Linked DNA regions of Stegostoma tigrinum. The protein of the gene in region 2 interacts with the protein of the main gene of each other region in a biochemical or structural test. Links are inferred from orthologs where the notes say so. Each region holds a gene or a part of one and is shown on either strand. Other genes may lie near its edges. The genes, in order: catenin delta-2-like and pdzd2.

The links.
Region 1: the proteins of pdzd2 (region 2) and catenin delta-2-like form a complex in vitro, tested with the Homo sapiens proteins (2 studies listed by BioGRID and IntAct, with this or other methods). The link is inferred for Stegostoma tigrinum from reciprocal best matches to the Homo sapiens genes PDZD2 and CTNND2.

What each region holds. Positions count from the first base shown.
Region 1 is NC_081355.1:24,918,710-24,935,359, forward strand, and holds the start of catenin delta-2-like, read right to left. Parts: upstream 8,844-16,650; 5' UTR 8,807-8,843; coding exon 8,761-8,806; intron 8,499-8,760; coding exon 8,424-8,498; intron 1-8,423. UniProt on the Homo sapiens protein: Has a critical role in neuronal development, particularly in the formation and/or maintenance of dendritic spines and synapses. Involved in the regulation of Wnt signaling.
Region 2 is NC_081354.1:140,704,435-140,721,297, forward strand, and holds the start of pdzd2 (PDZ domain-containing protein 2), read right to left. Parts: upstream 6,364-16,863; 5' UTR 6,333-6,363; intron 1-6,332.

The DNA.
Region 1 (16,650 bases), on a different chromosome or scaffold from region 2:
TTTCAGAGGGTTAGAACACAAAAGCAGAGATGTACTGCTGAGGCTGTATAAAGCTTGAATCAGACCATATTTGGAATATTGTGAGCAGTTTTGGCCCCATTACTAAGAAAGGATGTGCTGGTGTTGGAAGGCTCCCAATTCAGATTTACAGCAATGATCCCAGGTATGAAGGGCTTGAGGAGTCTGGGTCAGTACTTGATTGAGTTTAGAAGCATGAGGGTTAATCTGATTGAAACTCACAGAATAATGAAATGCCTGGATAGACTGGATGCAGAGAAGATGTTTTCATTATTAGGAGAGACTAGGACCTGACAGCACTGCCTAAGGGTGAAGGCACAACCCTTTCAAACTGGGATGAAGAGGAGTTTCTTCAGCCATAGGGTGCTTAATCTGTGAACTCATTATCACAGAGGGCTGTGGAGGCCTAATTATTGAGCGTATGTAAGACACATAGATAGATTCTTGATTAGTAAGGGGCTCAAAAGTTATAGGGAGAATGGGGTTGACAAAAATAACAACCATGATCGAGCAGCACAGCAGAGTTGATGGGGTGAATGGCCTAATTCTGTTCCCATATCTTATAGTCTTATTGAATGGAATAAAAGTTACCATTGTCAAATGTTGTTTGATGATCACTTCTTTGTACATAAATTTTACGACTTTAAATTGTTGTAAAATTTTACATTTTTATTGTTTTTGTGCCACCTGTGCTCTCAAGCTGTTGAGTATTCAAATTGCATGTGTCTATCCAGGATAGAAACTAAAGCTGTAATGCACACTGACATCAATAAGCACCTATTCAGGCAGCAAAAACAACTAATTTGCTAAAATGACAGAGTTTAAAGAGAGTAATCTGCTTGGATTCATTGTTTGACCTGACCTAAACAACATTAGCAGCAATAATACCATGCAAATTCAGCACAGCATCACATTTCTATTCACTGGCAATTAGACTTTGAAACTGTTCTGAGAGACCATTCTTGTACAAGAACTGTACAGTTCTGAAATGATTAGCAATTTCGTAGAAGGGTAGAGCGCATACCTTTGAAAAATTACCTATAATTTGTCATTACAACTTGAATGAAGAGCAAAATCAGCCAATTAAAAGGATCTTTTTGTCTTTCATCATGCACATTTGAAAGACTTTCAGATTATTAACTGAGATTGCCTACAGCATACAATGAAAGCTAAACTATCACAAGTATTATTCTCACTAATAAATGAAAAACGTTGACAAATAGGCAGGCATTGCATACTTACAAGCCTTGAGGCCATTTTAGAGAGGTGATATCCAATGTATCTTTACATGATTTATGGACACAACTACAGAAATTGCATTGTAACAATTTCAAACTTTCCCTATGGATTTGTCACATTTAGATATCTCCTGCCAGAGACAGATATATGCCTTGAGGTTGGCTTGGGGAGATAGGACAGGGGGAAGGTGATGAGGAATTCTGGAAAAGAAATTGCAGGACTAAACAGGAAAAGGAATGGGAGTGGGATGAGCTCCGCTCTTGCAGACAGCTGACACAGACACAATGGGCTGAATGGTCTCGTACTGGGCCTTAACCAATCTATGTTTTTCTTCATATACAAGAACTTGTGAAGTATGAGCTGGTGTAGGCCACTGGACTTCTTGAGTCTGTTCTGCATTCGATGAGAATATGGCTGATCTGATTGTGGCTTCAACTTCACCTTCCCGTCTGTCCCAAACAACCTCTGACCCCCCCACCCCCTTTATGGATCAACATGTTGGGAGAAATATGTTGTAAGCATTGATTATAGGACTTTGGCAGTTCAATTAGGCAAGCCCACCCAAAGGATCCTCACATGTTTGATCACACATTTATTGACAACAACATGATATTTACATTTATTTAGACCCTTTACTGTCCAAAAATACTCTGTGTGCACAGAAACATTATGGAACAAAAATAGATGCTAAGAAGAGAGTGCCAGGAATCACATAACACCAGGTTATAGTCCACAGATTTATTTGAAATCACAAGCTTTCAGAGCCTCCGTCCTCCGAAAGCTTGTGTTTTCAAACAGACCTGTTGGACTATAACCTGGTGTCGTGTGATTTCTGACTTTGTTCACTCCAATCCAACACTGGCACCTCCACATCAAAGCAGGGAGTGATGATAGGCAGAAACGTGGTCAGAGAGATGACTTTAGTGAATTTAAAGGGTGAGAGGAAGGTGGAGACGCTTAGGAATGGAAATCCAAAGCAGTGGAATAGCCTAGACTGCTGATGGCATAGACACTAAATTAGGCTGAGATTGGTGGGGTGCATAAAAGACCAAAATTGAAAGAAATCAGACTTTAGGGTGGGCTGGAGGACAGTGCAGCAAGAGAGTGTGGGACAACACCATGGAGGACTTCAAAACAGAGGTGGGAACTTTATATTTCAGTCATTGGAAATCTAGGTGCTAAAGTTAAACCAGAAAAAGCATTGTAAAGAGTCTGGGAGTTTATAAACATCACTGCAATTAGATTATAGTCTTCCACCTCAGCATAGTGACTTTACCCAAGGATAGTATGTGATTGCACATTCAGTAATTTTTCTGCATTTCCTTTGCTGATTGAGTGGAAGCAAAGAGTTGCTATGGAAACATGGCTGTTCTAGCAACAATTGTCTTTTACAATGATGTGAACTTACAAAAATGACAGAGAGGAAACAGCCCTCTGGCCTATCCAAATTGGTCTGTGAAATGGCAATGCCTTGTACGTCATAATACATTGTTCCTGGCGTGATAGGTCATCATTGTGGATCACTGTTCCACCATCAGTATGCTTTTGCTTTTCTTCATTTTCAGTAAGAGAAATCTATTGCAAATCCTGGATGGGTGTGTCACAAGGTGAGTACAAAAATATCAACAGTTTTCAATTCCATACCTCATCATGTAACAGAATACTATCTCCAAAGCACATTTCTCTTAAAGTCGAAGAGTTATATAGCAGGGAAACAAAACTTTTGGTCCAACCAATGCTGACCATAATCCCAAACTAAACTAGTCCAACCTGCCTGCACTTGGCCCATATCCCTTCAAACATTTCTTATTCACGTAGTTATCTAAATGTCTTTTAAACATTGTAACTGTACCTACAGCCAGCACTTCCTTTGGAAGTTCATTCCACACACGAACCATTCTCTGTGTTAAAAAAAATTGTCCCTAGGTCTTTTTAAAATTTTTCCCCTCTTACCTTAAAAATATTCCACCAATCTTGAAATCCTCCACTCTAGGGAAAAGAGACCTGCCATTCTCCTTATCTATACCCCTTATGATTTTATAAAGCCCTATAAGATCACGTCTTAACCCCTATGTTCTAGTGAAAATGGTCCCAGCCTATCCAGTCTCTCCCAATAACTAAAACCTTCCATTCCCGGCAACATCCTGGTAAATCTCTGCTGAACCCTATCCAGCTTAATAATATCATTCCTATAATGGAGACCAGAACTGGACACAGTACCCGTCAAGGGGCCTCACCAACATCATGTACAGCCACAACATAATGTTATTATTATCATTAGTTATTATTTATCCTGGGTATCTATTGTTTATTTTCCTACCTCAGGCAGTCACTTCGCAGCAGTAGAAACTGACTGGGAATCAAATACAATCAAGAATAGGAAAGTTTGTGTGTGTGGATGGTCCATTCAAGATCCAATCAGAGGTATGTTTTGAGGGAGTTCTCATCACTGAATAAATATGTTAATTTTTGGGTGCGGGAACTTGGGGAGAGAATTTTAAAGTTTGTGAGGGCTCAGCACCTCAAGTAGATTTGGCCAAAATTCAGAATACCAAAAGGTGAACTAAGAAAATGAATGTAAAACAAAGAACTGTGGATAATGGAGATCTGAAAAAAATAACAGAAATTGTTGGTGAAACTCAGCAGGTCTGGGAAAATCTGTCGTAAGAAAGGAGAGTTAACATTTTGAGTCCAGTGACTCTTCATCAGAACTGAATACAAATGTACGCATCAGCAGCAGGAATAGACCATGTCATCCCTTGAGACCATTCGGCCATTAGGAAGATCATGGCTGATCGGATTCTATCTTCAACTCCACATTGTCACAAAAGGAGATCAACAGATACATAACACTCTGTGCAAAAGCTCTTAAATCACCGTCTTAAATAGATGATCTCTTATTTCCACACAGTGATCCTTAAATATAGAGTCTCCCACAAGATGAAACATTGGGCTGCATCTTAGGTTTGTTTTGGCTTTTGGCTTTTGAGGTCATGAAGCGATTACTGCCTTGAGGCCTACTGGGTTCCTAATCTCATATCATTAGTTATCTACCCTGCCGCTGTGGCGGAATTCCATCGGATCCTCCCACTCACCATACCGGGAACAACTCACCACATCTGGGATGTATCTGGTTCCAGTGCCACCTTTACAAGGTAGTTGTGCACCCAGACTAACACGTCTAGTTAGAGCAGCCTTGCATAGTTCATGATATTTGCCACGGACATAGCAGACAGTGGAAAATTGTTGTACTCCTTTGCGGGCAGGGACCTGGAGGTCATGGTGCATGGGGTGGTGCAGATATGGACTGGTATTGAAGGCTGTCCTTGACTTTCTCCACCAGGACCCTTTGATAGAAGGCCATTCCCCTTGACCTCATTCAGGACTGCCATCTTCCTGACTTCACAGGTACTTCTACATCAAAAGACATCACAACACAGCAGTACGTGAGCCTGGTATCTCCATCCACACTCCCTCCCTCAGCATAGACCTTCTCACAACACTAAAAACTCCTTTAAGCCCTACTCCCTGACTCATAACCTTGCAATTTCCTGAGATAGACAAATAAACAGAAAAATTACAAGGTTAATAGGCAAAACAAAATCAATAGGCAGAAAAAAGCACTCTGGAGAATTTCTATTCCATTTCCACAGCCAATTTCAAAAAAACAAGCTTCATCCATAAAGGCATTTACCTTTTATACGATGTAATTTTTTTGATACAAGTTTTCAAAAGGAACCTGTTCCATTGAAAGGGCAAGTTGCAATTAGAATAGTTGCCGAGCATCTTCGAATGGGTGTTTAATTTGCAATTGCATTTGAAACACAAGCTAAAATATCTTTCTGAGCAAATATAAAGCATAAAGAGAAAAAGATAACTGAGATAACTAACATTGTCTCTTATGTTATATCAAGCACCATAATACAACAAAAAACTTGGATATACAATACCTATACAGAAAATTCAAGTGAGATGACTGCGATAGTTCAGGCACATTTCAAGAATGAAAATCACTAACACCTTTCACGAGTCTGCACACAGAGGAATATGGAATACCACGCTGAGGAAGACCAATGGAGAACTGTACAGGCAATGTCAAGAATGACTTGTCATGGAAACGAATTTTGGTGATACGAGCTTCCAACTAGCTCACAGTCACCCCAAATGGAATATATTCAGTTCGCATTATTGCCACAGCTGACCTGACAAACTGGAATTTAATAATAACAGTACTTTGGCCGGTGTCATAAACTACTAAATTTCCACCCTCAATCATTGGTAATACAAAAGACAATGAATCTAGAGAGGAGAGATAAATGACGTACCTATCCTAGAGAGACACAAGCACAGAGATTTGCACACATGACGAATATGCCAGTTTGGTGAGCAGCTTAATGGCTGCTTCGAGTTCGAAATGCTTTATTATAAAATACAACTTTTATACCAAATTAGTGGTCTATTAGTTTTGGAACTAGCTTTTCACCAAAGGGAAATCAGACTTGACAAACCTTCTGGAACTTTTTTCAGGATGCGACAAGTTGAGAGGACGAGGGTGTATCAGTGGGTGTTGTGAAACTGGACTTTCAAAAGGCTTTTGACTAGATTCCATACTAGAAATTAGTAAGCAAAATTAAAGCACATGGTATCAGAGGTAATGTATTGATGTCGACAGCGAACTGGTTGTCAGACAGGGAGCGGAGAGTTGGAATAAATGGGTCCTTTTCAGAGTGGCAGGCAGTGACAAGTGGATACTGTAGGGTTCAGTGCTGGGACCCCAGCTGTTCACAATATACGTTAATGATTTGGACAAAGGAAAGCAGGAAAGCAAAAGAATTTCTCCAAATCTGCAGATGACACTAAGCTGGATGGCAGTGTGTGCTATGGGGAGGATGCTAAGAGGCTGCAGGATGACTTGGACAACATGGCTGAGTGGGCAAATACTTGGTAAATGCAACATAATGTGCATAAATGTGAGGTCATTTACCTTGGTGGCATAAATAGGAAGGCAGATTATCTGAATGGTGGCAGCTTAGGAAAAGATGAGGTGGAACGAGACATGGGTATCATGGTGGAACAGTTGCTGAAGGCTGGCATGCAGATGCAGCAGGCAGTAAGGAAAGCTAATGGCATGTTGTCCTTCAAAGGGAGATTATTTGAGAATTGGAATAGAGATGTTTTGCCACAGTTATACAGGGACTTGATGAGGCTACATCTTGAATATTGTGTTCAATTTTGGTTTCCAAGTCTAAAGAAGGACATTCTCGCTATTGAGGAAGTCCAGTGAAGTTTCACCAGAGTAATTCCTGGGATGGCAGGGCTGATATATGAAGAATTGACTGGATTGACTAGGCTTGAACTCACTGGAATTTATAAGAATGAAGGGGGGATCTCATAGAAACATGTAAAATCCTGACATGACTGGACAGGAATAATGTTAGCAATGTTGGTGAAGTCCAGAACTAGGGGTCACAGTCTAAAAATAAGGGGTAAGGACTGAGATGAGGAAGGATTTCTTCACTCAGAGTTGTGAACCTGTGGAATGCTCTACTGCAGGAAGTTGTTGGGGTCAGTTCATTAGATATATTCAAGAGGGAGCTGGACGTGGCCCTGACAGCTAAAGAGAACAAGGGGTATGGTGAGAAAGCGGGAGTGGGTTAGTGAAATTGCATGACCTGCTATGATCATATTGAATGGTGACACAGGCTCCAATGGCCTACTCCTGTACTTATTTTCTATGTATCTATGAGAAGAGTTTTCTCAGGGTAGATATCACACATAGCAGCAACCATGGGATTTTACAGGATTAAAGCAGCAAAATATGATCCTTAATGTGCTGAATTCCTGACAGGAAAGGTGCTAAGCAAAGTGGGCAACAGAAAAACTGAATGGGTGTCCCCTTTCAGATTTTACACAACTCTTGTTGTTTTGACTGCGACAGAAGTGCTATTCATCCCCAACGAATGATAGTGAAATTTCTAGTGTTGTGCTATTGCTGTTCCCACCAGGCATTGATCACACCTTCCCATGACAAAATGAAGATCAGAGAAAGTCGTATAAATGGTGTATATATGGTAACCGTATAAAGATGCCCTGGCTGTCATTTTTATCTGTTTGTCATTTTTATAAATGACCTGGAAGAGGGCATAGAAGGATGGGTTAGTAAATTTGCAGACGACACTAAGGTCTGTGGAGTTGTGGATAGTGACGAAGGATGGTGTAGGTTGCAGAGAGACATAGATAAGCTGCAGAGCTGGGCTGAGAGGTGGCAAATGGAGTTTAATGCAGACAAGTGTGAGGTGATGCACTTTGGTAGGAGTAACCGGAAGGCAAAGTACTGGGCTAATGGTAAGATTCTTAGTAGTGTAGATGAGCAGAGAGATCTCAGTGTCCATGTACACAGATCCTTGAAAGTTGCCACCCAGGTTGACAGGGCTGTTAAGAAGGCATACAGTGTTTTAGCTTTTATTAATAGAGGGATCGAGTTCCGGAACCAAGAGGTTATGCTGCAGCTGTACAAAACTCTGGTGCGGCTGCACTTGGAGTATTGCGTACAGTCCTGGTTACCGCATTATAAGAAGGATGTGGAAGATTTGGAAAGGGTGCAGAGGAGATTTACTAGGATGTTGCCTGGTATGAAGGGAAGGTCTTACGAGGAAAGGCTGAGGGACTTGAGGCTGTTTTCGTTAGAGAGAAGAAGGTTGAGAGGTGACATAATTGAAACATATAAAATAATCAGAGGGTTAGATAGGGTGGTTAGGGAGAGCCTTTTTCCTAGGATGGTGACGGCGAGGACGAGGGGGCATAGCTTTAAATTGAGGGGTGAAAGATGTAGGACAGATGTTAGAGGTAGTTTCTTTACTCAGAGAGTAGTAAGGAAATGCAACGGTTTGCCTGCAACGGTTGTAGATTCGCCAACTTTAGGTACATTTAAGTCGCCATTGGATGAGTATATGGACGTACATGGAATAGTGTAGGTTAGATGGGCTTGAGATCGGTATGACAGGTCGGCACAACATAGAGGGCCGAAGGGCCTGTACTGTGCTGTAATGTTCTATATTTCATTGAAATTCATTGCCTTCCAATTGTAATAAATCTCTTCAGCACAAAGATGTGAAAAGTTGTCATCAAGATCAGCTGAAATAAGAGGTCACTTTTGTAGAACTTACTGCTATACATGTTGGAAGATGTTAATGTCTTACTCAACTGTGTCAGCCGTTCTTCTCTAATAAGGATCTTCACAACTGCAGCATAAAAGATAATTGAGAATACTCTCATAGATGTATGACCAGCCACTATTGATTCAATCTCTTTCTGCTTAATAATTTCAAATCTGCTTGTTTCAACTCCAAACTTTATGCTCTGATGAATGTTTACACAATCTTATCATCTGCTGTGAGTAAGCATCAAAGTCATAACATTTGATAAAATCTTTGGATTACAAAGAATACCATCAAACGCCACGAAAGATTCCAAGTTTGAGCTGTATAGAAAATGAAAACCTACCATGAGATGGAAAACTTTTCAAACAAGTTAAGTTGAAGCCGTCCATGAATTTAATCTGACAATGAAATGGCTACTATTTTCAGCTTCTTTCATGTGTGCACTGGCCTTTAAATGTTAACAGCTGACAACACTGCTGCTATTGAGAAGGTTATCAAAGTACATCAGTCATGCTTCAACTCATGTGACTTGTGATATCATTCTTAAAGACCAAGGGCTTTTAGTTCCCCTTCTCTGATTTTCTCTGTATAAGGGTCAGGATGGGATTTCAAGCCCATTGTCCTCATTCTCATCAGAATACTAGCTAGTTTCCTGGAACGGGGATGATTAGATTTTTAAGACAGGATTTCACTTTGGCTGCACAATTAACCACGCTCTCACATCTAAGGAGCTTTGGAAAAGCCACAATTCCAGGTGTCACTCACTAGCAGGTATCCCATTAGCAAATGGGATAGACATTGATGCACCCAAAAACCTTTTTGTATCTTTTAAATGTTCTTGCACAGTGCCCATTTTGGGATACATAAGGTGGAACAAACTTTGTTAATCCCATCACTGGAGAACCTGGTTGCAAAAATTTCTGACCTCAAGTAAAGTGGACTATCTTAAGTGTAGCACGTTGGTTAAAAGTAATCAAATAGCATTGGGTTGTGGGCATTTGCTGTTTCTGCAATTCTTACAGAACATGCATTCACCCTATGCACCCAACAGGCAGCCAGTTTAAGAAATTAGGTTTGAAACACAACGGTAGGTTTGAGAAATGAACATGAATGGATGAAAATGTTTGAGGGGTCTGCATTATTGGGTTTACTGATCTCTATACTTTCAGTTCCGTGAAGTCTACTCACCACTGTACACAACATCTTAGCACAAGACATTCATGCCCTTGCAGAACATATTTTTTACTGCAGGACATTAAGGATAATATGAGTAATTTTACTTGCCAGTAATATAGGACAGATGATGTTGAAGCTGCAACTGGTTGCATAGTTCTCCCAAGTGTTCATTCCCAGGGGAGGTGCATAACACATAGCAAGTCTGATATTACCTGATCTACACCATTAGCCAAGTTAAAAATTACCCTTAAGAAAACATCTCTAAAATGACAGAAGAATTAGGTGGAGGCAGAAATTGTGCAAAGCCATGTTTAGTGCCTAACCATCTTTTGTGCCTCAACCATTTGCAAATTATTGCTGGCAGCACAAATGGGTTTATGAACATAGCTTTATATTGACACATGCTGGTTTCTTCCAAGAAAGTCACAATGTGAAGTCAGCAGGACACTACTGGCCAGTTGAGAATCTCGGCATAATCAAGAAATAGCCTAAGAGTGTTGTACTATAATTTGAACATACATTAAAGTCAATGTTATTTCCCTGCAATGACACGGCAAGCTGGCAATCAGATAGAAAGTATCAACAGGAAAGAGTCAGACATAGTCTTTCCAGGATGTTCCTATTACGTAAGTTTTGTGATTATCAATTGGAAAGATGGCATAGGATGAGAAAGAGAAATAACAACTCAAGGATTTCAATTATTTTAGAACAGTCCCCTGTGTTAATTTAAATCTAGATGCAGCCCTTTCTTAATCTCACAAAGTGCACCCTCTCTTCTGCTGCACAGTGCAACACTTAATTCCCCACAGCATCCACTCACTTTAGTCTTTGAGAGAAGAGATTATTGAATTGCAGCTAAATCTGTCAAACATTTAGATATTTTCATTTTTTTAAAAATAGGCTGGGGCGCGAAATTGTATGGCTTCTGGTGATTGCAAGCTATAGCTACAATCACATTATTTAATAATAAGTATCACAAAAATCAGGATCTCAACACCAGCATTCCTTTAAAGCTAAGCAATGAAACAGGGCTTGTAATTAATATGAACATTCTTGTGATTTTAAAAGTTGCACTTTTGTCGGTAATTTTGAATTTGGTAGCTCTTTGGGTTCTGTAAGCATTTGCAAATTCATGACCATTAACTGAAGGAGAAATAGCAGCCTTGATATTTCAAGTGTGCACATTAATCCAGGGTCTTCACAGAAAATACTGCACATTAGTTCCCTTTGTTTATTGAAACAAACAAGGAGGAGGAGTGGAATAACAAGAAGAGAAAAAATATTCACTGTTCTGTTTAACGGTTTAATTTTTCTCAGATTCTTCTAAGATTCTGTATGCAGTGAAGCTAGCATCAATGCTATCATTGCAAGTGCTTGGAACAACCAAGCAGGTTGCCACGGTGATGGCACCTAGCTGGCATCGCAATGTATTATCATGGCTAGACTCTGAGAACATCATCTAAGTGCAGACAAAATGGCTCAAAGGTGACATCATTACATTCTTAAAAGTTCTTGTTTGAGTGTCAAAATAAATCCATCAAAATCAGTCATCACTCAGAACAAATGGTTCCTTCACAGCGACTTTCACCAGAAATTTATTACATAGGATAATAGAATCCTTATAGGTTGGAAGCAGGCCATTTAGCCCCCCAAGGCCACACTGAACGTCAGAAGAGTATCCCACCCATAAGCCCCCGACTTTACCCCTAGAATGTTGCATTTCCCATGGCCAATCCACCTAATCTGCGTATATTTGGTCTGTGGGAGGAAACTGGAGCACCCGGGGGAAACCCACGCAGACATGGGGGAATGTGCAAGCTCGACACAATCACCTGGTGTTGGAATCAAACCCAGGTCCCTGTGAGGCAACAGTGCTAACCACTGAGCCACCGTGCCACCCATGGTCACTTGAATAGCTTCCAAAATTGACTAACACTTTACATTTCTGTGAATCCTGTTGGCAGTAATTGATGTATGTTATTCAGCAGCAATTAACATTTTCAACATAAAATGGACTTTATAGCATCCCGTTTCAGATGTTGGGATGCAGAAGGACGGACAGTGTGAACTCAAACCTCTGGCTACAGCAGGAAATAAAGGGGATGTGAGGTAAGTCCATAAAAGAGGGTTTTGAGCTAATCAGATCAAAAAGCCTAGCCAGTGCAATAATGGGGTAAGGTGAAGCTTAGCAGACAAAAGTATGTCAGCTATTGAATGAAATTTACTTGGGGTTAATGCAGAATAGAGTTTGTTTGGTATCTGCGGAGGGAAGGCCAAATCTTGGAGTTTGAGATTCTGGAACAGGCATAGGTACAAAGAAGTGTTACACTAACTCTGGGAAAGAAGGAAAAAAAAGACTTTTGTCCTAGAGTTTCGCCGTGTGATAAAGGCTTTCAGGAGCTAATCATTGGTGAAGTGGTGGTACAGTAGTAATGTCACTGGGCTAGCAGTGCAGTTGCAAAATATCAACTGGAGTTGCCATACAAATACAGTAGCCTGGAATACTGCAACAAGTAACTCAGCTCCAGACTCCTCGGCGGTGTCCACTATTTAAAAGGTACAAGTCAGGGGTATGATGGAATAACTCCTGCTTGTCTAGATGGGTGCAGCTCCAACAACACTCAGGAAACTTGACACCATCCAGGGCAAAGCAGCCTGCTTGATTGACACCACATCCACAAGCATTCTCCACCGTTCGGTAGCAGCAATGTGTGCTATCTACAAGGTGCACTGCAGAAATTCACCAAAGATCTTCAGATAGCACCTTCCATTACCACAGCCACTTCCATCAAGAAACGACTTGCAAGTTCCCCTCCAAGCCACTCACCATCCTGACTTGGAAATTTATCACCATTCTTTCACTGTAGCTGGATCAAAATCTGGAATTCCCTCCTTAACGGCATTGTGGGTCAACCCACAGTACCTGAATGGTAGCAGTTCAAGAAGGCAGCTCAACTCCATCCTATGGGTAGCTAGGAATGGGGAATAAATGCTGGCCCAACCAGCGATGACCACATCCCACAAATAAATAAATCAAAAGAACCTCCAAGGTAACATTCAGGAGAAGTCAGTTCAAATCCCATCACGGTTGATTGAGAAGTCTGAATTCAATTTTTAATAAAGGAAAATACCACTTAATCACTGTTAATGGTCATAAGAACCAGTCTGGTTCATTCATGTCCTTTAGGGAAAGAAGTCTGCTAGTCTTATCTCGCCTATATGTGACGCCAGATGTATAGCAATATGGTTGACTCGTGAGGGGCAATAAATGCTGGCCTGGTCACATGCCCAGATTTCACGAATGAATTAAAAGATGGTTAAATGGTATTCAGCCAATTAGAACTTGAAGCATGCACGACAATCTTCTCTTCTCACACTTCCTTTGCTTCAATTACCTTACATAATGGTCTCCTGTTATCAACTCTCCTACAGGTAGAAACATTTTGCTTATTTCCTTTATCAAAATCCTTTACCTACTCATTTTAATGAAATATTTAGCTTGTTAAGGCCCGTTCCTGGGCAACAAAAATCAACTTGGTATAGCATCCTGCGTTGGAGACAGATACTTTGCAGCAGACATGAATGGTGGTTTGATTAATATGCTGGAAGATCAAATATCACAACTGCACTGCAGGACTTTGATCATATGGATGGAGTTATCTGTTGTAATTATTGCTAGCTACTTGCTGTGAAGGGGTTGCAGGAGTGGTGTCCTGAAATCACAGAGGATACATAAGGCCCTGATTTTTATTGTTGGCTAAAACAACTGCAGAAGTTCCAAGATTTCCTTCGTGGGATATTTTAGGATTTACATTAACCAACTGAGCTCGGCGTAAAGTCTCATTTAAGGATACCACCTGCTCTCAGCGCTGATGCAACTTTCAACTTGGATTATGTTCTTTTAGTCCTAAAGCTGGTTCTGAAATCAACAGCTTTTCAAAGTTGGAGGAACTAATGTTTCCAATTGAGAATGATGTGATGGCACTGTACTCAGGTGTTGCAGACCAGAGGAAACCAGAGGGTAGGCCTAATGATTGAAAACAAAATCATTCGGCCCACATCTTCCAGTCAGCAGTGGAGACAGTGCACCTAATGCTGAGTGTAATTGAAACTGTCCACTTTCTGCTTCACACTGGAACCTTTGCATCTTCCAATGTCAACTTCAGCACAGATGTTTCGCTAGTATTCTTCCTCCCGCTCTCATTGTTGATCGTATTTACCCATACCCTGCTCACTCGCCAACTGTGTTCTCCCTCGCTTACTCTTCAACAGTATTCCCCCTTCTTCCTCAATCTTTACAGTCTTCTCCTTCCTCCTTAACCTCCAACATGCTTCAAATGCCTGACTTTGTCAGGATCCCAACACTTGTCAAAGACATATGGTCATTTGAGGGTCTCTCCTCCCAGTGGAATAATATTTGGGCCAATATTTACAACCAGAGCCTACTGAACACATAGGACTAATTATACATCAGAATATAAACAGAAATTTATCGATTAAAATTATGTTTTTATTGAAGCATAAAGGAAGTGTGGGCAAATCAATTACATAGATCAATTAAATGTGAGAATGTGAGAGATCAGATTAATGGATTACATAAAACAGAGTCCAAAGTCATTTATAAATATATGAATAATAATAGGATAGTCAATGGAAGCATAGCCAGATTACAGTCCTAAAGAAAGAATCAATCTTGCAGAAGCATAGGATATGTTTGCAATACTAAATAATTTCAATCTGTATTTAGTGAATATGATAATGCTCTTAATGTCACAGCACAGAAGTGGTGGAGGAATTGGACAGAATAGAAATAGATAGAAACTGAAAAAGGCTAGGAGAGCTCAAAGTAGAAAGACACCAGGCACAGGCAAGAAAGTAATAAGTGATAACTTTAGTGTATTTATATTACGCTCACATTTTAAGTGATGAAAATTTAACTTAGATCAAATAGATTTAAGACGTTTGCAACATGCTTGTCTTTATATTCAATCATGTCAGTAAGGTTTGATGCTCAAGTTTTTCATCAGAGCTGGTGATAGGTTAATGATATCAAGGGAAGCTTTCAACAAAGTTATGGCTTGAGGGCAGGTAAAGATAGGTATTGCATGAAAAGGTATGGGGCCACTCATTTCTATTCGGCAATTAGTTTACACATCTGGGTGATTTCACATTGTTGTCTAATATTACATCCAACAGAAAGAAGGCCATAAGGATCCCACTCACCCTGCTCTACCTTCCTTCTTCGCTGTTGATGGTTTACAGTACTCATAATGGGCTTTGCATTGCAAACTTCTAGTTGGCTGCATGGGCAAACAATGTCATGGTGATTGGGTGGGGGGAAAATCGTTTAGTTGTTTGTGATAACATTTCTGGATATTAAAAGAAAATAAAGTAGACACAAAATGAACCTCAGTGGAGGGATCTCAAAGTATGAGTTGTTACATTTTCCATCAGAGACCTGAGTGGTGCGTGTGGCATACAGCACCCCCATATGACTGCAGATTGTAGTGGTTCACTGACTCCCAACCCAGCTGTTCATTTTGTGGCACTGTGGAGTTCATGGAACATGGATGTATTGGTTATTGGCGACTGCACCCACTTTTGGCCATGTGAAACATCTTTTTGTTGCATTTTTGGTTGCATTTCAGTCACACACATCATGTGCAGTGGCATATGGGTAAATTGAAGGACCTCCTCGCGGGTCTGCTCCTAGACTTGGCCAGGTTGGCTGTTAACATGTCCAGGCAATGGAATGTAGAGTGAGTCAGAGCTGCCAACTATCTGCATGTCTTCCACAGTTACATTTGTGGCTAGGTGTCCGAGGAGAGGCAGCATGTGGTGTCCAGCAATACTCTTAATGCCTTTCAAGAAAGGTGGACACCAAGGAGATACAGAGCTTTATTTCCCCCTCCAAAACCATTCTGATTTCGTTCTTTCCTGCTTTCCCTAGCCCCCCCTCACTTTGATGGCTTGTATTGCCAGTTAAAGGTTTTGCATGCAAACTTCAAATTGAACACATGGTTGATTTACTGGTTGTAGTTGATAGTTTAAAAAACAAAAATGGCACAACAATTTGATGATGGGAAAACCGGTTGTGTGTGATAACACTTCTGCATACATACATATATGTAAATAGTGCTGTGGTAGTTTTCTTCCCTCTGTGTGAGGAAACTTGGTTACAAATCCCACCTGTTCCAAAAATGCATCACAACATCTCTGAACTGGCTGCTTTTTGAAAAAAAAGGTATAGTAAACTATCTATTGGTGGCTCCTGTGGCATAGTGGTAATGTCTCTACCTCTGAGCCAGAAGGCTTGGGTTCAAATTCCACCTTTTCCAGAGGTGTTTAGTGACATCTCAGAACTGGTTAATTAGAATGCACTTATGAACTCTATTGGCTTTGGTAAAGTGGTAATGGAATTGGGCTGGTAATCCAGTAAGGGCTCTTGTGGCACGGTGGTAATGTCCTTACCTCTGGACCAGAGACCTGAGTTCAAGTGCCATCTGCTCCAGAGGTATGTCATATAATGTCTGAACAGGTTAATTGTGGTGCAGTGGGCTCTTGTAGTGCAATGATAGTGTCTCTACCTCTGAGTCAGGAAACCTCAGGTTTAGGACCCATCTGCTCCTGAGGTATATCATAATACATCTGAACAGTTTGATTAAAAATATAAACTCTCTCTCCTAGGCTAGCAGTTGTTTATGTACACCTTGAGTAGTGGATCTGTTTTGATGTTCAATAATAAATGACATTCCTTTCCAGGTGGGCTTCCTGAGTTATCACAGAGATAACGGTGATTCAGTGTATAATTTTGGCCTGGTAATGCTCCTGTGAAGTGTTTAGGGATGTTTCACTGCTTTAAAAATGCCACACAGATACAGCCTATGCTTCCAGTATGGCTGTGTTATGCTGTAGCGGAAAATTATGCCAAGTATTTGTCAGTATTGAAATTCAATGGCAAAAGCACTGACTTTGATATTCAAAATAATGCATACTGTAAACCATGCTGAAGTCAAACACAGCTTAGTTGCCAGCACAGTCTGCAAAATTACACAAC
Region 2 (16,863 bases):
TTAGACAGGGCAGAATTTATTAAGCGCATTCAAGAGAGTTTCATGAAACAGCATGTGGCTAGTCTCACTAGAGGAGTGCCATACTGAACCTTCTATTGGCTAATGAGCCTGGCCATGTGAATGACCTTTCAGTGGGAAAGAAGTTTGGAAACAGCGATCACAACTCCTTAAGTTTTAAGATAGCTATGAATAAAGATAAGACCTTAAGGCATAAGACATAGGAGTGGAAGTAAGGCCATTCAGCCCATCGAGTCCACTCCGCCATTTAATCATGGGCATTTCAACTCCACTTACCCGCACTCTCCCCACAGCCCTTAATTCCTTGTGAGATCAAGGGATTATCAATCTCTGCCTTGAAGACATTTAACATCCCAGCCTCCACTGTGCTCCATGGCAATGAATTCCACAGGCCGAAGGTCACTGACTAGTGATGTTCCTCAGGGATCTGTACTGGGACCTCTGCTGTTTGTCATACATATAAATAATGTGGATGAAAATATAGACGGGTGGGTTAGTGAGTTTGTGGATGATAAAGATTGGTGGAGTTGTCATGGTGTAGAAGGCTGTCAAAGGATACTGCGAAACAGGGATCAGTTGCAGACATGGATAGAAAAATGGCAGATGGAGTTTAATCTGAGTAAGTGTGAGGTGTTGCACTTTGGGAGATCAAATGCTAAGGATACATAGTTAATGGCAGGACCCTGAACAGCATTGTACAGAGGGATTTTGGGGTTCAAATCCACAGCTCTCAAAGTGGCTACAAAGGTAGATAGCATGATAAAGAAGGCGTATAGCACCCTTGCCTTTATTGGTCGTGAAAATGAGTACAAGGGTCAGTACATCAAGTTGCAGCTTTGTAAGACTTTGGTTAAGCGTCACTTAGAATATTATGTTCAATTCTGGTCACCACACTACAGGAAGGATATGGAGGCTTTGGAAAGGGTGCAGAATAGGTTTACTGGGATGCTGCCTGGATTACAGGGTACGAGTTTGAAGGAGATGCTAGAAAAACTTAGGTTGTTTTCTCTGGAGCGACGGACTGACGAGAGACTTGATAAAAGTCTATAAAATCATGAGACGAATAGATAGGGTTGACAATCAGAACGTAATGGTAGGAAACTAGAATGACCCGCCAGAGGTGGTGGTAGGGGGAGATACAATAGGGGTGTTTAAGGGACTTTTAGATAAGCACATGAATATGCAAGAAATGGGAGGGATATGGACCTAGAAGAGGAGGTAGAAAGGACTAGTCTAATTTGGTGTCATGTGTGGCATAACATCTTGGGCCAAAGGGCTCATTCCTGTGCTGTGCTGCAATTTGTTCTCTCTGTCATTGTCTGGATGTCTGAACTGTCCGTAGAATCACACAGTAGGGGTCATTCAGCCCATCAAGTTTATACTTCCAAAGCTATACTAAATCTACAGTTTCCAGCATTAGGCCCAGAGCCTTGAATCTTGTGACATTTCAAGTACTTATCCAAGTACGTTTTGAAGGGTGTGATGTTAACTGCCTCAACCATCCTACAGGCTGTGTTAGTCTGTCTTTTCCTTTTAGTGACTAATTAATTGTATGCACTTCTCATACTTTCTCTTTTTAATGCCAGAAAATCAACTGTGTGCTATACAAGAAACATGCATTTATATATCATCTTCTGTAACCTCCAGGCATGCCAAAGGAAGTTACAGACAGACAATTAGTTCTTCTGGAGTGCCGAAAATGCCTCATTTCACAGCCATCCCTAAAACAGTATTGCATTCCCACACTCCTGCAAGTTTCATCTTTGTTAATTATGGCATCACAACATAAGTACTGGGCCTGTCTACGCTAAGTAACAGTGATATCTATCAATTCCAAGGTGAACAGTATAACAAAAAGTGAAAATAGAAATGTTAGCTAATTACTCATGGGATAATGATTTCCTATCTGATTTCAGTCATTTAGCTGAAGTTTTGTTTAAACAGGTGACCACAAAGTTAACTGTTGATGTTATTGCTAAGCATCCACAAAAACCTAACATACATGTGTGACCTTTGACCCTGTTCCAGAACATTCATGGGATGTCATCTCAGATCCTGTTAGACTCTACAACTTGCACTTACGTTTTGTGTTAATATTCATCTATCAGGTCACCTTTGGATCTACGGTGATTACTCAACCCTGTTAATCTTTGAGTTCAAAAGTACAGAAGCATCTATTTAATTCAAGCCAGCAGCATGCCAGCTCCACATTACTTTAAGATTTGATTTTCAACTTGCAGCATCATAGCACGTCCATAAGGCCAGCACACTGACATAACATCCAACACAATTTTTTGATGTGGCATACATGTGACTCCAAACAAAATAGCAATGTGGTTGATTCTTAACATCCCTATTGGAAATTAAGGATGGGCAATAAATGCTGACCCAACCAGTGATGCCCACATCCTGGTAATGAATAAAAAATTACTTGTATGCGCACACACACACAGTCAAATAAATTTGATATTCTGCAGGGAGGGGCAAGTAAAATACTGGGGAAACTGTTCAATAACAGCAGGATTCACTGGAGTGTTCCTTTTGTTTCCCAAGACCACCAGTGCTCTGATTTTTTCCTTCAAATTCACACACTTCTTCATAGGAGGCATGGAGCAACTGGTTCACAAGCAATAAAGTCTCTCGCTTCTTGTTTAAAAACAAGAAGTTATGACAACTAAACAAAAAATAAATCATGCTGAAAATCAGAAACAAAAACAGAAAATCCTTGGGAAAAAAACTCAGCAGGTCTGGAAAGGTCACCCCCTCCAAAGCCAGCACATCATTCCTCAAATAAGAGCCCCAAAACTGTTCACAATATTCCAAATGCAGTCAGACCAGTGCCTTATACAATCTCAGCAGTACATTTCTGCTGTTGTATTCTGGGCTTCTTGAAATGAATGCCAATCTTGCATTTGTCTTCCTAAGTGCCAACTGGACCCGCACGTTAACTTCAAGCAAATCCTGAACTAGGACTCCCAAGTCCTCCTGTGCTTCAGATTTCTGAAGCTTTTCCCCATTTAGGAAATAGCCTTCACCTCTATTCTTCTACCAAAGTGCATAACCTCACATTTTCCTAAATTTTATTTCTAAGGAGAGGCAATAGCATAGTGGCATTATCGCTGGACTATTAATCCAGAGACCCAGGTAATGTTCTGGGGACGCGGGTTCAAATTCCACCATGGCAGACGGTGGAATTTGAATTCAACAAATATCTGGAATTAAGGATCTAATGATGACCATGAACCCATTGCCGATTATCAGAAGAACCCATCTAGTTCACTAATGTCCTTTAGGGAAGAAAACTGCCATCCTTACCTCGTCTGGCCTACATGTGACTCCAGACTCACTGCAATGTGGCTGATTCTTAACTGCCCTTTAGGCAATTAGGGATGGGCAATAGATGCTGCCTAGCCAGTGACACCCTCATCCCCTGAATGAAGAAAAATAAAAATTCCATTTGCCGCTTCTTTGTCCACTATCCTAGCCTGTCCAAATCCTACTGCAGCTTCCTTCCTTCCTCAATGCTACTTGGCCCTCCAACTACCCTTGCATCATCTACAAACTCAGCAAACATACCCCTAATTCGTTCTTCCCAGTGAAACAGCATCCCCTCCAATATAACATAATTAAACCATCCACACTTGCTATAAACAGACAAAATAAGTCACACAATTCCCTTCATTTCACCTTAAAGACAGCCCCAGAATGTAAGTTATATAAAACTCAAATGTAACATGAACAATGCAACTTCCAAATTCAGTCATCTGATCTCAGTAAAACTATATTCTTTCAATAACTTACTTCTAAAATGACAACTTAGACATCACAGATACAGTGTATATTGACACTACAATTCTTTCTGCAATCAGCTAAGAATATCTCAGCACCGGAAGAAATATTGATATAAGTTTATGTTATCAATCGATCTGTGTGAAATCTTGAACCCATGTAAAGGTTGCAGCTAGGGCTTGAAGAGGTTCTGTTTTCTAAGCTTGATTTAAATGGAACATATACCTGAAATAAATAAAATTTGTATCTTATTCAATATCAATCAATTTAGTTTCCTGATTCTGTCATTTCAAACCTCCATGAATATTTTTGGTTAAGGGGTAGTTTGAATTTTAGAGTCCCAATAAGTAGGTGCCTACAATTTCTAGAATTCAAACCCTACCAAAATACTTACCAACATAGACAATGGAGAGTCACTGGGTACTCAGGGTCTCAAGTCTTTCTCCAACTGTGTGCATCAGATTTACATTTGGTCATATTTTGAACTGGCTTTTGAGTGCAATTACTTCTAGTTAAACGCAAGTAACTTTTTAAAAAATTCTATTCCATTTTCAACTCACTTGTACCTTGCAAAGATATCTTACACAATGTTTTTAAGGATTTCACACATTTTAATTGTCAACACAAAATAAACACTTGAATACAAGCCACAACATCACTCTTGCCCTTGCCCTGCCATGTCTCATCCAGGTCCTGCCTTGTTTTATGCTTAATAAAATTCACCAAAGCTCCTTAAGCAGCAACTTCTAAGCCTACAACTAATACGATCCAGAAGGACAAGGGCAGCTCCTACATGGGAACACCACGAGCTGCAAGTTGCCCTCTAAGCTACTAACTAGTCAGGCTTAAAAGTATATTGCTGTTCCTTCAGTGTTACTGGGTCAAAATCCTTAACCTTTCTCCCTAACAGCATTTGTGGGTCTACCTACACCAAATGGGCTGCAGAGGCACAAAAAGGCAGCTCAATTCTCAAGGGTACCAAGGACAGGTAGCAAATACTGGCCCCATCAGTGAAGTCCACATATCATGAATGGCTAAAAACAGAAAATAGGAAAAAAAATGAATAGATGGAAAATAGATTAAATTCATTCTGCAGTTGAGATTTAGGAAGTAAAAACTAAATTAATTTAGAAGTACAAAGATTGTACAGCTGAAATCCACACATGCAAGTTTGAAGAAGTACCTGTCCTAAACCTTTGTGTGGGCTTCCAGTTTCAGAGAGTCCCTACTGGTTTTGAGAGCGCGGAATTGTATCACTGAGCACTTCAGAGATTTAAAATTTCCTCAGCAGGCCAAGCAGCATCCAGCTCTACACGTGGTTATCTCAGATATTCCAGTGTCTGCAGATCCTACTATCGTTAAAATTTCCTCATTTGGCTCGGCTCATTAGGATAGATATTTCTGCTACTTTATAATACTTTTTGCACAACCAATTAAAAAACTGCCAGGAATTCCTAGCATCATGCAATTTGGGTCTCATCTTCTCCAAGCACAAGCAGGCTTAGCCTCGTAATTTCTCAACAGTGTACAAAAATGAAAAAAGCAACATCAAACAAGGGGAAATCATAACCAGAACTGAGAAACAGCTACTCAACATTTGATTTTAAACATGAGCAGACTCCATTCACGTCTTTTGTTTAACTACGTTTATTATTTCCTTCATTAAACAGGCTATGAAAATGTTAAAAGACTTAATATCAGCTCGCAAGGTTGTAAATGGGCAAGACATTTATCTCTGTACTTTCCAACTTTGTCCTCTTGCACAAAATTTTTAATTACTTCACCTAAAATTATTTCTGCAGCTGAGGTTTAGTGCCGGCCAGCCACCTGGGGTCAAATCTCAAGCATTTCCTCTTTAAACTTTTCCACTTCTTTCTCTTCCTTTAAGATGCGTTTTACCATCATCTTGGAACAAGCTTTGGTCACCTGCCCTAACAGATTCTTAAATGCTTCCGCATCAAACGGTGGTATATGTTCTGGTGAAAAAATTCGGGCTGTTTTACTACGTTACGGCCCTTTGTAAATTGAACTTATAGCTAGTGAACCAAAACGGACGTAAATCAGTGCTTGGCATCGTCCAGCGACATACTGGAGAGATTTACCTTCAAACTGCACCCAACTGTGACTTAGGAATCACGATTATCAAGTTGCGGATCCCAATCTAACAAAATTTCTCCTCGACAGCTCGTATTTCAAGATAAGTAGCAGCGCAATCCACAAAACAGCATGCGCAACCACCAAGATAAACATAGGCAGGAAAATCTTAATCCTCGGGGATGAAAATAAATTGCCAAACAATCACTTACCTGAATTAATTCACACGGTACTCTCCTTTTTGCTATGCATGTCCAGTTACGGTTTTTCTCAAACACATGACATTATCCTAACCTCCCAACCGTCACTCAAATTTACACACTTTAGATATTGCCACTCCCGGTATTTTTTTTAATCTACTGGTTATGACGAACGCAAGAGAGAGTCGGAGATTTTTTGAACTTTTGGTGTTCCTTGTACACGACCCTTACCTGCTCACTGGAGAACTCGGTGCCCTCTCCTCGCCGCTTGCTCCTGCAGCAGCCGTTCCCGCCCTTCCAATGACAAAACCTGCTGATTGACAGCTCGCTCGGGCCAATCGGTTCTGCGGCCGGTCGGAGCTAGTCCAATGGTAGCAGTGGGGCGAGTCTCCGTGGACCAAGTTGAGCTCGAGCCGTCATCTGCTAGTGACCTGCCAGGATCCGATAGCGGTGGTTCTGCTTCTTCACACAACACAGCCCCCTCTGCCCAAAGCCAACACCGGGTTGTAACCGACTGAATGGCTATCAGCAAGCACGGAGCGGCTGTACATTTAGTATGCAACCTATAATTTATTGTAACATATAATACTGAGGAAAATAAAACGTTTTAATGTTACAGAGATAGTTGGAACTGCCGTGCTGCAGAAGCTGAGATAACAAGGGGTAGATAATAAAATGTGAGGCTGGATGAACACAGCAGGCCCAGCAGCATCTCAGGAGCACAAAAGCTGACGTTTCAGGCCTAGACTCTCTGATGAAGGGTCCAGGCCCGAAACGTCAGCTTTTGTGCTCCTGAGATGCTGCTGGGCCTGTGTTCATCCAGCCTCACATGTTATTATCTTGGATTCTCCAGCATGTGCAGTTCCCATTATCTCTGATAACAAGGGGTAGAGCTGGATGAACACAGCAGGCCAGGCAGCATCAGAGGAGCAGGAAAGCTGACGTTTAGGTTCTGGACCCTTCTGAGGCGTGTTTCTAAAGTGACAATTATTTAAATGTCAGAAACCAGGCAAAGATTAAGTAACAAAACCAGAAATTCTGGAGAAAAATCAAACTACCGGACTCGAAAAGTTAACTCTGCTTTCTCTCCATGGATACAGCCAGACCTGCCGAGTTTTTCCAGCAATTTCTGTTTTTGTTTCAGATCGCCAGCCTCCTCCGTTATTCGTTTTAATCAAAGATGAAGTAAATTGTCGTTACACATTAGGGTGATGGGGAAGGAACAATTTGAGTATAGATTCATGGATGAATTACAGGAAATATGAACTAATCGACTGATTCCTAATTCACAGACCCTAAATTGCAAACTGGTCATCGCAGAAAACTTATTCGCTTTAAAACATTTATTTAGCCAAGTGATTCGGGCTTCAGTTACAGCCCGAGCTGGACAATATAAATCTCCCACAGCCTTCAAAAATGGAAGGTTAACCTTTCTGGTGGATATAAACTTCACAGGCAGCGTCTCTCTGTAACAAAACCTATTTATTTTGCAGACATCAAAGAGCCTGTTGCTGCGCTGCAAGATCCAGCAAAGATCGCAGATGTGGCAGGGTTACCGTGGGAACGTTGACGAGGATCTCTGAAGGATATACACTGCAAACATATCTGCCGAGACTGCATGCGTTTTGTTCAACTCCAGCACTAGGGAACAATAACAAAATAGAGTGCATGCTGAAAAGAGTAAATACAACCTTCCAACGCGTAGTTTGGTATTTCACAACAAAAGAAATTAAACGCTGTCATTTTTTCCCCCAAGTAGATGCTCTACAAGCATGACCCTGCGTTTTCAAAAAATTGGTTCTACTTCTGTGGTCTACTTCGGCTTATCGTGTGGTGGAGATCATTGAATCTCCGAAATTCAACTACTGTAGAACAACGATGTGATAATGGGAACTGCAGATGCTGAAGAATCCAAGACAATAAAATGTGAGGCTGGATGAACACAGCAGGCCCAGCAGCATCCCAGGAGCACAAAAGCTGATGTTTCGGGCTCTCTGATGAAGGGCCTAGGCCCGAAACGTCAGCTTTTGTGCTGCTGGGATGCTGCTGGGCCTGCTGTGTTCATCTAGCCTCACATTTTATTATCTTCACTGTAGAACAACAATTTGTTATACTTGTAGCAAAGTCAAAAGATGTGCAGGCTGGCTAGATTGACCATGCTAAATTGGGTTATAGGCAGATGTGTCGGTGGAGACTTGTTGGGCCGAAGCGCTTGTTTCCACAGGGTAGGGATTCTATGATCTATGGTTTGCAGTATTCAGTATTTTGATTATTTTAAAGCTAGGAATTAAATGAATTGAGCAGTAGTCCAATATTCAAATAAAAATCTGAAACATTATCATCAGCCTCTCGTTGAGTGCAGGCATTCAATTATCCTGGCATCAGTAAATTCCAAGGATGAATTCCATCCATACCAATACTTATCAATAACATCCACTCTTGTAAAAATAAATAGATACTCCAGTCCTCAGTAGAAGCAAAAGTCCTATTAAAAAGCCTAACTGTTAGAATGGCATGGTTAAGTGTTGAATTATACTGTTTCAAATAATTATTGATAATCAAGAACATACTTTCATTGTTTTCATTTACTGGATCGCCCTGGGATACAAAGACAATTCTTCAACTCTTCTCTTCTGCAAACATCCTTTCAAAAATCTTCTGTCCTGCCTCTGCCAATCTTACCTCCAACAGCATGTGTGGCATATTCCTTCCTTAGCAGTAAGGTTGAGACCAAATGATCAGCTTCTTCAGCCATCCTTATCTTTCCCCTATGTCACCAGGCAAACGTAAAGAACACTCCCTGCCCTGGACTTGAATTTGCTCCAGTTTCTCTCCAACCCAATTCCTATCGGTTGTAAAAATAGAAGAATGCTAAAGAAACTTGGTAGGTCTCTACATCTGTTGAGAGAGTAAAACAGAATTAATGCTTTTAGCTCAATTTAACTTCTTCAGAACTCAATAAACTCTGACCAGTCAATATCACTCCATGCTCCCACACAAATGACAAGAATTGACCATCTCCAACAAGAAAGAATCTAATCATTGCTTCATGACATTCAATGATATTATCGTCACTGAATTCCACACCATCAGTTTCCTGGGAGCTACCATTGACCAGAAACTAAACTACACTCGCCACATAAATAATGGCCACAAAAGCATTTCAGAGGCTAGAAATCCTGCAGCAGGTAACTTGCCAAAGCCTGTCCCCCAACGACAAGGCTCAAGTCAGAATACTCCCTACTTGCTTGGATGACTGCAGCTCCAACACCACTCAAGAAGTTTGACACCATCCTAGACAAAGCAGCCCGCTTGAGTGGCTCATGTGCACACATAGCCATTCCTTCCATCATTGACCAAAGTGAAATGCAGAATTTCATCAAGGATCCTTAGACAGTATCTTAAAAACCTATGACCACTACCATCTATAATGACAGGGTAGCAAATATATGAGAACACAAGCACCTGCAAGTTCTCCTCTAAGCCACTCATCATCCTGACTTGGAAATATCTCCATACCTTCAGTGTCACTGAGTTAAAATCCTGGAACACTTTCCCTAAGGGCATTGTGGATCTACCAACAGCATGTGGACTGTAACTGTTCAAGAAGCAGTTCACTACCATCTCTCATAGAATCCCTAGAATGTGGAAGCAGGCCATTCAGCCCATCAAGTCCTCTGACGAGCATCCCACCCAGACCCACCCCCTACTTAGACACTATGGGCAATTTAACATAGTCAATCTACTAAATCCACATAGACACAGGGAGAATGTACAAACTCCAGGCAGAAATTATGAGAGGCTGGAATTAAACTGGGCCCCTGGCACTGTGAGGCAGCAGTGGAAACCACTGAGCCACTATGCTGCAAGATCAGCGAGGATTGGCAAAAAATGTTGGCCCAGCCAGTGAGACCCATATGCCATGATTTTTTTTTAAAATCTTGTCTCATGTTCCTTGGATTCTCTGAAAAGTTCCTTTAAATATAATCATCACTATTCTCCTCAACAAAACACACAACCCCTTCCATCCTTGGAAACCATCAGCCCATCATCAACTTCCAATTGCTCTCCAAAGCATTTGCACATGTTGTTATCTCCCAAATCTGTGTCCATCTTTCTCAAACTCCATGTTTGAATCAATAGTCAATCTCCACCATGCCACAATACTGAAACTGATTTTATCAAAATGGCAAATAACATCCTAAATGATTCAGACAAAAGTTATTTTTACAAGCTTACCCCTCTAGACATTTTGTCAACCTAATAGTGTTCCAGTGAAGTTCAATGCAAAATCCAGGAGCAGCAACTTATCTCCCGCTTAGGCACCTTACAGCTTTCAGACACAATACAGAGTTCAACAATTTCAGACCATGAACTTTGTCGCCCATTTTGATATGTTTTAGTTTTGATTTTCATATGATCACTATGAAACAGAAGGGGAGGCGAAGGCCCAGTAGTATTGACACTGGACAGTTAATCCAGAGACTGAGATAATGTTCTGGGGACCCGGGTTCGAATTCCACCATGGCAGATTGTGGCGAGAGATAATGGGAACTGCAGATGCTGGAGAATTTGAATTCAATAAATATCTGGAATTGAAGAGTCTAATGATGATCATAAATCCATTGCCAACTGTTGGAAAAACCAATCTTGTTTTGCTAATCCCCTTTAGTTCCCGAAAGAAAAACTGTCATCCTTGCCTGGTCTGGCCTACATGTGACTCCAGACCCACAGCAGTGCAGTTGACTCTGAAATGCCCTTGAGGCAATTAGGAATGAATGCTGCCTAGCCAGCAACACCCTCATCCCATGAATGAAATAAAGGAAAAAGAGAACAGGGTTATATTTTGTTCAAACACATTCATTCACTCTGGAAAAATGCTTCGTTTCCTAACTACAGTCTCGAACACTTCATTTACTTTTTGTTCCACGACATCTTTGTTATTGCAATCTTCCCATCCTTTATCCTATTCTTGACCTTCTCGTTCATGCCTTCTTTATCTCCAGACTGGATTAGTCCAATGAACTCTGAACTGATTTCCCAAATTTCATCCTCTATAAACTTGACAACTTCCAAGCCTCTGCTCTATTTGTCCTTAATTGCACCAAGTTCTGTGGTTCAGAAAAGATTTACAGGGATGTTGCTCGGATTGGAGGGCTTAAGCTACAGGGAGATGCTGAATAGGCTAGGGTTATATTTCCTCAGCATCAGAGGCTAAAGGGCAAACTTATAGTGGTTTATAAGGTTATGAGAAGTATGGATATCGTAAATAGACAAGGTCTTTTCCCCAGGATGGCCGGGGGGGGGGGGGGGGGGGGTGGTCCCTGCATATTCAGCCATTAACTTCTATAAGGTCACCCCTCAGCCTCAGAAGCTCAGGGAAAATAGCCCCAGCCTATTTCACCTCTACATATAGAGGTTATAAAATCATGAGGAGCATAGATAGGGTGAACAGCCAAGATCTTTTCCCCCCCCCCAGAGTAGGGGAGTCCAAAACTAGAGGGCATAGGTTTAAGGTAAGAGGGGAAAGATTTAAAGGGGACCCGAGGAGTAACTTTTTCCACGCAGAAGGTGGTGCATGTGTGGAACAAGCTGCCAGAGGAGATGGTGGTGGGGCTGGATAGAATTACAACTTTTAAAAGGCATCTGAGTGGATACATGGATGGGAAGAGGTTAGAAAGATAATCGGCCAAATACTGGTATTTGGGATGAGATCAGTTTAGAATATCTGATCAGCACAGACAAGTTAGACTGAAAGGTGTGTTTCCATGCTGCGTGACTTCATAACCCTGTATTTTGGTGACCTCCATTGGCTCCCTTCTAAGCAACATCTTGATTTAAACATTCTTAATGTTTTTTTCCAAATCCCTCCATGGCCTTATCCCACAGTATCTATGACCATTTTTACAGCCTCAGAACTCTCCAGAATATCTGCAATCATTTAATCCTGATCATTTGAGGTTCTCTATTGACAGATCTGCCCACACATATACAGTCCTTAAGTTCTCAAACTGCTTTCTTAAACCTCTCAATCTCACCTTCCTCCTTTAAGATGCTGCTTACTCAGGCCCAACCTACAGTCATATGCTTATTAGACCTTTATGAGATTTGGTACCAAAGTGTGTTTTATATTGGTCTATTTAAGAATTTAATTACAAATTTTAAATAGAAGGTGCTGTTCTTGGTGTTGGTTTATTTACTTTAAGTGATTTCCATAGATAACTACTTGAGGGTATATTTGTAGATAAGGCTGTTCTCATCAGTGCCTTGTACAACCAAAGCACAACTTCCCTATTTTTGTGTTCCACTTGCTTTTCAATAAATTATAACATTCTATTATCTTGCCTGATTATGTGTAGTATCAACAATCCAGCTTTTTACAATCCAGATCCCTCAGAACCACAGATCTAATCTCTCACCATTTAGACAACATGCTTTATTTTTATTTATCCTGCTAAATGAATAATTCCATATTATTCCATTATACTCCATTTACCAGATATTGGACTACACACTTAACCTAAGTCTTCTGTAACTGCATGTCCTCTTCACAATTAGTTTCCTACCCTTGATATAAGCAAATATGGCAACTACATCTTCCATCTCATGTAAATTGTAAACAGTTGAGATCCCAGCACAGCTCATGTGAAGCCAATCCTTGCATCTTGCCAACATGAAAAAGATACATTTATACCTACACATTGGCTGGTTAACAAGAAGTAATCTTCTATCCATGCTAATAACATCCCTACATCATGAGCTTTTATTTTCTGCCATAACCCTTAACGTGGGAATCTATCATAAACATCTTGGAAATCTAAATACAATACATCCATAGAGTGTGTTGCTTTATCCACAAGAACTCCAATGGATTGGTCAAACATGATTCCCCTTTAGCAAAACCATGTTGAATCTGCATGATTACCTTAATTCATTGCAGCCTCAGAACGCCAGGGATCTGGGTTCAATTCCCGCCTTGGGCGACAGTCTGTATGCAGTTTGCACATTCTCCCCATGTCTGCGTGGGTTTCCTCTGGGTGCTCCGGTTTCCTCCCACAGTCCAAAGATATGCAGGTTAGGTGGATTGGTCATGCTAAGGTGCCCATAGTATTCAGGGGCATGTGGGGGGTGGGTCTGGGTGGGCTGCTTCAACGGGCAGTGTGGATTTGTTGGGCTGAAGGGCCTGTTTCCACACTGTAGGGAATCTAAATCTAATCTAAATGCTGTGCTATATTTGATAATAGCTTCCTATATTTGATAATAGGTTCTAACGGATGTGAGTTTGCTCGCTGAGCTGGCAGGTTAGATTTCAGACGTTTCATCACTTTTTTTATTTGAAAAAATATACTTTATTCATAGAATGTACAAAAAATAAAACATTTATACACCTACCCAGTCATGCAAGCCACTCCAGGTTACCCAGGGGGTAAGTACACCAACTAAAGGAAAAAAGCAAAACAGAGAGAAAAAAAAACAAAGCAAAGAAACCACCCCGGCAGTCGTCACCACGCACAGTCCGCGTTGGCCCTCTGACCAGTTGGGGAAGGCACCAGCTGGGCCCAGTTACCAGATAGGGTTCTTTTTCCTATCCTGGACGAGGGGGTTCATACGGTGGTCTTTCCCCACCGCACCTTGGCGGCGGCTGCCCCAAGCTTTAGCACGTCCCTCAGCACGTAGTCCTGGACCTTGGAGTGCGCCAGTCTGCAACACTCGGTCGGGGTCAGTTCTTTCAGCTGGCAGACCAGCAAGTTGCGGGCAGACCAAAGAGCGTCTTTCACCGCATTGATGGTCCTCCAGGCGCAGTTGATGTTGGTCTCGGTGTGCGTCCCCGGAAACAGCCCGTAGAGCACGGAGTCACGCGTCACGGAGCTGCTCGGGACGAACCTCGACAAATACCACTGCATCCCGCTCCAGACCTCCTGCACATAGGCACACTCCAGAAGGAGGTGATCAACAGTCTCATCCCCCCGCAGCCACCTCGAGGGCAGCGTGCGGTGGCGCAGAGATTCCGGGCATGCATAAAAGGATCTCACTGGCAGAGCCCCTCTCACCGCCAGCCAAGCAATGCCCTTGTGCTTGTTTGAAAGTTCTGGCGATGAGGCATTCTGGCAAACGACTTTGGCAGTCTGCGTGGGGAACCACACGATGGGATCCACCCTCTCCTTTTCCCGAAGGGCCCCGAGGATACTACGCCCTGACCACTGCCTGACGGCCTTGTGGTCAAAGGTGTTTCCTTTCAAAAATTTCTCCACGAAGGACAGGTGGTACGGAACGGTCCAACTACTCGGAGTGTACCGCGGCAACGAGGCCAGGCCCATCCTTCGCAACACCGGGGACAGGTAGAACCTCAGTAAGAAGTGACACTTGGTGTTTGCGTACTGAGGATCTACACACAGCTTGATGCAGCCGCACACAAAGGTAGCCGTCAGGGCGAGGGTGGCATTTGGTACGCCGTTTCCCCCATTTCCCAGGTCTTTGTACATGGTGTCCCTGCGGACCCGGTCCATCCTCGACCCCCCAAATGAAGTGGAAGATGGCCCGGGTGACTGCAGCGGCGCAGGTCCAGGGAATAGGCCAGGCCTGCACCACATACAACAGTACCGAAAGCCCCTCGCACCTGACAACCAGGTTCAGACCCGCGATGGAGAGGGACCGGAGCGTCCACCTGCCCAGCTTCTGCTTCAATTTGGTGATACGCTCCTCCCAAGTCTGAGTGCACGCCCCTGCTCCACCAAACCAAACACCCAGCACCTTCAGGTAGTCTGTCCTGACAGTGCAGGGGATGAAGGAACGGTCGTCCCAGTTCCCGAAGAACATGACCTCGCTCTTACCCCTATTGACTTTGGCACCCGAGGCCAGTTCAAACGGGTCACAGATGTCCAATAGTCTACTCACCGACCGACGATCGGTGCAGAAGACGGCGATATCGTCCATGTACAGGGAGGTCTTGACCTGAAGGTCTCCGCGGCCTGGGATAGTCACGCCCTTCAGGCTCACGTCCTTCCTGATGGAGGCGGCGAAGGGCTCCACACAGCACACGAACAAGGCAGGAGAGAGCGGGCAGCCCTGCCTGACTCCAGATCTGACAGGAAAACTGTCCGATTCCCACCCGTTGATCAAGACTGCGCTAACGATGTTGGCGGAGAGCAGCCGGATCCAATTGCGGATGCCCTCCCCGAACCCCAACTTGGAGAGGACGTCCCTCATGTAAGCACGAGAGACCCTGTCGAAGGCCTTCTCCTGGTCCAGGCTGACGAGGCAGGTGTCCAACTGCCTGTCCTGTACGTAGGAGATCGTATCCCTGATGAGCGTGAGGCTCTCAGCGATCTTCCTGCCCGGCACAGCACAGGTTTGGTCAGGGAGAATCACCGACTCCAGGACAGACCTGACCCGGTTGGCTATGCCCCTTGGCCAGGATTTTGTAGTCCACGTTCAACAGTGAAATGGGACGCCAATTCTTAATTTCTTCCCTCTCCCCCTTCCTCTTGTAAATGAGGGTGATGATGCCCTTCCTCATGGACTTGCACATTTCCCCCGCCCAAAGCGCACTATCGTACACCTCCAGCAGGTCCTGGCCGACCAGGCCCCACAGAGCGGAATACAGCTCGACCAGTAAGCCGTCGCTTCCGGGGGTCCTATTCCTCTCCAACGACTTGAGGCTCTGGTCAGCTCGTCCAGGGATATCGGCCGGTCCAGCCACTCCCTCGTGCCGTCGTCTAAGACCTCTGTGATAGACGACATGAACGACTCGGAGGCCATGCTGTCCATGGGCTTCGTGTCGTACAGTCCGGCATAGACGGACCTGCTGATCCTCAAAACGTCGGGCCAAGACGACGTCACCGAGCCGTCATCCTCCTTCAGCCGGCTAAGCACAGAGCTCTCTTTGTGCACCTTCTGAAAGAAGAAACACGAGCTCGTCTCGTCCTGCTCCACGGAGCGGACCCTGGACTGGAAGATTATCCAGGAGGTGTCCGCGGCGAAGAGCAAGGCTTGCTGGCCCCTCACCTCGCGGAGGTCCTCCGTGACATCGACCCCCATCAACTGCAGAAGGAGCAGGTTCTGCTCCCTTTTCTGGAGTCGCGACAGCTTTCCCCGCCTCTCTCTCGCCTTCCAAACACCCTTGAGGACAAAGAACCTCTTGATGTTCTCCTTCACCGTCTCCCACCAGTCGCCTGGAGACTCAAAGAGGGGTTTCACAGTTCTCCAACCGGCGTACTCCCTCTTAAGCTCCTCGACGTTCTCTGGGGTCAACAGAGTCGTGTTGACCTTCCACGTCCCATTGCCGGCCGGCTGGTCGTCCTGTAAGTGACAGTTGGCCAGCAGGAGGCAGTGGTCAGAGAAGAACACTGGCTCGACGCCGGTGGACCTGACCGAGAACGTCAGTGACACAAAGAGGAAGTCTATCCTTGAGCGGATAGACCCATCTGGCAGCGACCAGGTGTACCTCCGCTGCGCTCCGTCTGCAGGGGTGCTGAAGACGTCAAGCAGCTTGGCATCCTTCACCGTGCCCATCAGGAATCTGGACGTGACGTCCAGTTGACTCCCCCCACCCGCTGTCCCCACGCCGGATCTTCCATCTGCATCGATGATGCAGTTGAAGTCTCCGCCTAGGATGACCGGCCTGGACATAGCCAGCAGGGGTGGAAGCCGCTGCAAGACAGCCAACCGCTCACTCCGTACCGCTGGGGTGTACACGTTGATCAGCCTCAGGGGAGCATTCCTGTAGGTGATGTCAGCCACTAGGAGGCACCCCCCCCACCAC